Linked DNA regions of Callithrix jacchus. The protein of the gene in region 2 interacts with the protein of the main gene of each other region in a biochemical or structural test. Links are inferred from orthologs where the notes say so. Each region holds a gene or a part of one and is shown on either strand. Other genes may lie near its edges.

What was found.
Region 1: the proteins of ZEB1 (region 2) and USP51 form a complex in vitro, tested with the Homo sapiens proteins (2 studies listed by BioGRID). The link is inferred for Callithrix jacchus from reciprocal best matches to the Homo sapiens genes ZEB1 and USP51.

The regions. Positions count from the first base shown.
Region 1 is NC_133524.1:55,843,167-55,845,728, forward strand, and holds part of USP51 (ubiquitin carboxyl-terminal hydrolase 51), read right to left. Parts: coding exon 2,248-2,562; 3' UTR 1-2,247.
Region 2 is NC_133508.1:31,108,485-31,113,073, reverse strand, and holds the start of ZEB1 (zinc finger E-box-binding homeobox 1), read right to left. Parts: upstream 3,071-4,589; 5' UTR 3,052-3,070; coding exon 2,994-3,051; exon of another isoform or gene 760-2,993; coding exon of another isoform or gene 753-759; intron 650-752; exon of another isoform or gene 451-649; coding exon of another isoform or gene 435-450; intron 311-434; exon of another isoform or gene 203-310; intron 1-202. UniProt on the Homo sapiens protein: Acts as a transcriptional repressor. Inhibits interleukin-2 (IL-2) gene expression. Enhances or represses the promoter activity of the ATP1A1 gene depending on the quantity of cDNA and on the cell type.

The DNA.
Region 1 (2,562 bases), on a different chromosome or scaffold from region 2:
AAGGAACAATTTTCCCATTTATACCTTCCTAGAACATTCAGGGAGGGCTCCAGAAAAGTCATCTGTGAGCCAGGTCTTGAAGGAAGAGTAAAAGCCACCAGGTAAATAGTCAAAGAAGGAGCCCTACAGGCTAGGGCTCAGAGATGTAGGTAAGGCCAGGTAAGTGAGGGGTTCAGGAAACTAGGCATGAGTGACGAAAAAAGGAAATAAAGAAGGAATAACGAATGAGCAGAAGGACTCCAAGCACAAACCCATAACTCTACTACGGAAATTAAAGGCTAAAAAGGAGGGTGGGAGGGAGGGCCTCAGATATGGGTCCCTGCCACTTCCTCAATCAGGCCATGGGGCTCAAATACAAAAGCCAGAGCTTCACAGCTGTGAGCTAATTTCTCTAAGACACCAAATTATCAAGAACCCCTTTTCAGAAGCTAAGAATTTGTATGAATAATGCAGTTCTAAATGTGAAAGTCCCTAATGTTTTCATTTTTCTCAGATGAATTGATTATGCCTAGGAAGTAATTTAACTTCCTTCAGGATATGAGATGGGGCATAGAATCTCTGAGGGGGGCCGGGCGCGGTGGCTCAAGCCTGTAATCCCAGCACTTTGGGAGGCCGAGGCGGGTGGATCACGAGGTCAAGAGATCGAGACCATGCTGGTCAACATGGTGAAACCCCGTCTCTACTAAAAATACAAAAAATTAGCTGGGCATGGTGGCGTGTGCCTGTAATCCCAGCTACTCAGGAGGCTGAGGCAGGAGAATTGCCTGAACCCAGGAGGCGGAGGTTGCGGTGAGCCGAGATCGCACCATTGCACTCCAGCCTGGGTAACAAGAGCAAAACTCTGTCTCAAAAAAAAAGAATCTCAGAGGGGAAGGTGGGTTAGTGTTTAGGCCTTGCAGCCATCTCACAAAATAATGGTAAGATAATGATTAAAATGTCTATTTCCTTTTGCAAATTATATTGATATATCAACATAAAGCTCAAAAATATATATGCTGACATACCCCGTCTTATTATTCCTGTCTCCTCCATTTATTTCTTTCATACCCGTCTGTATTTTAATATGCTTAAATAAAAAAATAGAACCTTTTAAACTTTTCATTTTAATATTTTTCTACTTGTTTTACATTTTTTCATTTGTCAATTTTTATGTAACTGTTTTAAGTTTATATTTTAGAATCTTTAATTAAATATTTTAAATTTTCATTTAAATCTCCTGAATTGAACTTATGTAAAGTTCTTATTTCACAAGCATTTTCTTCCTACTTTTTTTCAATTTTTGTCTTTAAACAAATTTTGTCTTTTTGTCTCGAATTATTTTAAACTTTCCTCCTTTAAAACTTTTCTCTAAAATTTGAATTGCATTCCATTCTGTATTTTTGAAAATTTATTTCTTAATCATTACAGTAATAATTTTGTTAACTTTTTAAATATGCATATTTTATGCTTTAATTTTGACATATCTATTTATATTATTTTCCTTCATTTGAAACTTTTAAGTTTTAAGATGTTCCTTTTTTCTCGTTAATTTTTAACAGTATTTTTTTCATTTTTTGGTAAACTTTTATTTTTAACCTTGTTCCTTGTTTAATCTATTTTACATTTTTAAACTTTAAGAATTTCTTAATTTCATTTGCTTTTAATTTTTAAAATTCTGAAACTTCTTTAAATTAAAAAATTATTTTTAATTTTTAAAATATTTTTTAAAAATATCAACTCAAATTTTTTCAACATTTAAAAATTTTTTCAAACTTTATAAATGATTTTTTTTCCTTTTTAAATGTTTTTCTTTTAAAGCTTTTTAAATTTTATTTTAAAATAGTATTTTTCTTTCAAACTATTTGGCTGGCCAGCCACAGCTGGAACACCAATTGTGAAGTTTTTGCTGATAAAGGAATACTTTGACTTCACATGGTATTTCTGTAGAAACAAATGACATATAGTAGCATCAGAACACCTCTACTCCTTTTCTCCCCACCTAAGGCATTCTTTTCATTTGATTATGCTTTATGAGACCATTTTCAACCTCTTCTCCCTCTCCTCATTTCTGAAGGTTGAAAGGTCACTGGTTAGTATTCATTTTTTCCTTCCTACATACCCATGAGCCATGCTAAAACAGGTTCTTTACATCAAGATACTACCTGTCATAAAGGTGTTATTATCGTTGTCCATTCCAAGTAGGTTTGTGTGTCACTTCAAATACTTGCCTAATCATTTACTTTTTTTTCAGTAAGTGGTCTGGTAAAACTAGTCTTTCTCTAGGCCCTGTTTGTGATAGAACAGTAAATACCCTTCACTGTAGAGTAAGTCCTCAATGGTAGCCTTGGTGATGATGGCATCATCACAGCTGAACCACTGGTCCTTTTGTTGCCGGATAAAGCTGGTATAGTGGCCACTTTCCAAAGTTCCATGGTGATTAATCACTGCAAACAAGGAATACTTATTCTCATTGGGCACACAATCTGTTGGTGGCTGGCCTTCTTTCATTCTGCTCTCTTTAGTAGAGGCCAAAAATGGAGTCATATCAAGCTCCAAGGGAAAGGAGATAAAGGTATTAATCTT
Region 2 (4,589 bases):
AATATGACTGCATTGCTAAGAAATATTAACCAGCAGATATACCGAGGTTTCACAACACAATGGAATATAACTTCATTTTTAATTTGCAAAATATAAGGCTAAATCAAATAGCATGGCTATAATCACCAGCAATGGATGAAATACATTTGAGAACAAAAAGAAATACAAGGACAGAGCCAAAAGTGATGAAAATGGAAGATACCTGTAGTAGTACAGTGCTATCTTTAACACCTTTTGTTTTCTGAGAGTAATGCATACTGCAGACAAGACGTTTTGTGCTAAACAGCCGCAAATCTGTTTTTCTAATATTAAACACAAAGGAAAAACACTGACAGAAAGCGTGGTAAATAAATCCCTCCCTGGAGAATGAAAGCAGCAGACAGGAGGGGGCTGACATACATGCAGGAGAAAACTAAACACCATCTTTTTTCTACCTGCACAAGTTGCCATTTGCTGCAGCGATCAAGAACCTCTCTTTCCTGTTGATTTCAAGTACCTTTCAGGATCGCTTTTCCCCCTTAAGTCATCTGTTGATATGCCTTACGAGCGTAATATTCATATCACAGGATCTTAAGGAGAAAAATCCATTCTTTCCTGTTCAGGTAAACATGTTTACAGCAGCTGCACAGACACTGGGTGGTTCAGACTCACATGTCACACACATGTCGTCAGCAACAAGAAAAGCCCCTTTCTCTGGCGATCAACATTTTAAATAAGGTAAAAAGCGAACAGTCCTTTCCGAATCAACTTACCTTTCATAAAGCCACATCAGCAAGAGCGGTAAAAGCTCAATATAGAACACACACTATTTGACGCTAAAACAGGAAATTAAAATTGCAATAGCCTATGCTCCACTCCTTGCTATAATAACTCATCTCTCCACAATGAGGATACCAAAATACCTTTCGATCATAATCAATAGACGTCTTTAAAATGCAAGTGTTTATATGAATAATTAAAATCACTCATAAAAGCAGTAATTTTAATGTCGGCTCGAATATATTAAAAATATGTTTACGAATTGGAAGGAAACGTCTTGAAACAGCTTTAAAATCTTCGTATCTGCTTCTAGACAGGAAATCCCACACAAAATCTAAAATTGCTAGGAAAGGTTACAAAACCTCGCGTTTCGCATCCCAGAGGGGAGGGAGAAAGGGAGCTCAGGCGCGGGGGTGGGGCGGGGTGGGGGTGAGCAGGAGAGAGTTTTCTCCTAAACACGTTATTTCCTCGTTTTCTCGACGCTGCAGCGGTCCCATTATAGACGCATTTATTCCCCTTCTCTTACAAGTCGTTTTAAAAAGAACGCAGGAACCGAAGCGAGCCCCTCGGTCCGAAATGTACGTGTAATTCCTTATATAGCCTGGGCTGCGGCCGGCTGCAGGGCCGTTTGCCGCCCATTATTATACAAACAGGTACCGGGGCGGCGCAGGCGGGGGCTGCTCTCCCGGAGCTCCCGCCGCCCCCGGGCGGACAAGTCTCGCCCCTCTCGCCACAGGAACTGTCCAGACAATAACAATCAGCAGACATTTCGCTGCTGCACGAGAGGGAGAGAAAGCACAGCATCGCCCCCAGATAAACAGAAATACAATCAACTTACAACGTCTCTCCAAACTGGAAAAGGCGACTGTGCAACCACCACCACATGTTCGGTTCTCGATCCCTCGGGCTGTCTCTCTCTCCCTCGCTTTTTTTTTTTTTTTTTTAACTCTCACGCCAGGCAGAGGGGTGTGTTTCCCTGGCACAGCAGCACAAATCAATAAACACCGCAGCTGCCGCGCGAGCAGCAGCCCCGCGCGTCCGTCGGTCCGTCCGCCCCCTCCCCCACCCTCCTTCCACCCGAGACCCAGAGCGCCATCCAAGCCCTATTATCCGGCTTCAGCGCTCCGTGCGTCCGGCCCAGGTAACAACTTCCCCAAAAACCGAAAGAGAAAAGCTCGAGGCGCACGCACACCAGCCCATCCTGGGGCGGAGACCGCGTCTGCCCGGGGAGGGGGATCTGTCTGTGGTGCTTCCCTGTCCCTAACCAGGTAACAACTCCGCAAACACACCCGCCGCCCAGCTCGCCGCCATCCGCGCAGCTCCTGGCGGCGTTAACTGGGTGCACTGCCTGTCCTGTCCCCGCGCCGCCCCGCCAAACATGTACCCCACTCGTGGGGGTCGCCGCAGAGTCCCCAGGCCGGGGCGCTGGGCCGGGCGGCGGGAGGCGCCGGGGAGGAGGGGCGCTTAGGGACCCGCGCCCCCGCGCCTCTAATCCCCGTTCCGCGAGCGCGCCCGGCCCGCCGGTCCCAACTTTACCGCCGCCGGCCGAGCCCCGTCAGCCCGCGGCGCGCACCGCCGGCGCCCGCGCACACGCGCGCACAGACCCCACGCAGCCCGTGGCCGCCCCGTCCCGCCACCGCCCGCCGCGCGCCCACAACCCGGCCCGAGTGGCGGGGCCCGAGCGAAGGCGCCGGCCGGGGCCGCGGCGCGCGGAAGCCACTTTGCACGGTCAGCGCCGGGCACAAGTTTGTTCCGCGGCTCCCGGGGGCCTGGGCGCTGAGGGAGAATCCCACTGAGGGGGCCGGGAGGAGGGGGAGAGGGAGGCGCCGAAGGGCACAAGAGTGGGGAAAAGTGAGGAAAGAAGCAACAGCCGCTCCACCCGGGACCAGAAAAGTGGCCGGCGCGTCCCGGCCGCCCGCCCTGCGCCGGGGATGCGGCGGCGGCGGCGGCGGCGGCTAACGGTCCAGGGAGGCGGCAGGGGCGGCGGGAGCCGCTAGGCGGAGAGAGACCAGGTAAGAGACATAACGGTTCAGGGAGAGCGAGCGGCCGCGGCGCGGCTCCGGCAGCGTCGGCAGCGGAGGGGGGCAGAGAGCACTACTTTCTACTTTCCCACTCCACTTTGCCGTCCCTGCCCCGGCCGCCCCCAGCTCGGCTCGCCCCCCTCACCTCCGGGGGCGCCCCGGCTACCCGGCTCCCCCTGACTCCGCCGCTCCCCGGTCCCCTCCGCCACTTACCGTTATTGCGCCGCGGGTTCGCCTGCTTTCTGCGCTTACACCTGGGGCCATCCGCCATGATCCTCTCGCTTGTGTCTAAATGCTCGAGTCACCTCCTCCCCCTCCCTCCCCCTTCCCCCCCACCCCTCCGCCTCCACCCCTCCCCCCTCCCCACCGCACCTGGTTTACGACACTCGCGGCTTTACGACATCACCTTCCTTACACCTAGAGGCGCTCGCTCTACGGCCGGAACCTTGTTGCTAAGGACCGGGCAGTTTGCGGCAACCGTGGGCACTGCTGAGTTTGAATTGAGGGGCGAGGGAAAAGTTTTCCTCAGGTGTGGTGGGGCGAGGGAGAGGCGGGTGTTGGGAAACCGTGGGGACGTGGTCTGAAGGGCCACGGGCTGTCGCAGTTGGAAAGGTAAAGTTGGAGGCTCCGCGGCGTCCTGCCTCCGCGCTGACCACACCCGCTTCCCGGGGCAGGGAGGGATCTGGCAGCTTTTCCCGTGGATCCTGTGCCCTCGGAGCTGCCCCTTCCAGCGCCCCGAGGTCCCCGCCTGCCTGCTTCCTGGAGGTAGGGCTGCCATCAGTCCCACGCCTCGCGTGTCTGCTCCGCTCACCCCGGGGCCAAGGAAAGGGAACGTGGTCTGGACTCCCCGGGGACTTCCCTTGATGAGGGGAAGGGCAGGTTTGGGGACGCCGAGGACACGCGGCGCCCGGAGACAGGCTACCTGACCCACGCAGCCCGGACTCCCTTCCCTTAGGGACGCACGGTTTCCCTGCGAGCGAACCGTGATGGGAATTGACTTCAATGAGATTGAAGTTCAGCTGGACTGAAAAAGAGGCGAGAAGTTCCGCTTGCCAGCAGCCTCGTTAGCAGAGCGGAATGAGTAATACCCACACGGTGCCTGTCTCACTTCCCCATCCGCACCCGGCTCTCACCTGCTGTCACCTCGGCCTCCCCCACCCGGTCCTCGCTCTCCTCCCTCCTCCTCTCGTAGACCCCTGGGATCCTGGGTGGCAGGACTCAGAGCTAAGGTATTCACAGGCCATGATTTCCTTCCTAAATGAGGGGTCATCGCCGTTCAGGACGATATTTCAGGCAAGAAACAACAGCTGACAGATGTGGTCTCTGAGCCCGATAGATTGCTGATTTTATCTTAAGTCCTTGGTGTAAGTTTGGGGATTTCTGAAAGACCATGCAGATAATACCACAAATATCAAGAAAGTCGTCTTCAGTATTCAGTAGAATGTAGATTTAGGTTTCTCTTCCTGCTTCCCACCTCCTTAGAATAAGGAAACGTCCTTGGGACCAACTTTATGGAATAAATGAGCTGATCTGTATTTCAAGTAATATAAATTAACAATGTAGGAGTTTATTGATAGAGAAATTGAGAAAACGGAAAAGTGGCCAGAGTATTGGAAATAACTAGTAAATCACCTAGCTCATAGTAGGTGCTCAATAAATTTATGCTTATAATTTTTGCCACCTCTATGGCAGGATTTTTTTTTATTAGGTTAAAATTTAACCACCTTCTGGAATTTTAGGATATTCATTAATAATGTCTTCAAACCTTTCAACTGAAATAAATTTACAACTGAAGTCTGGTGATTTAAA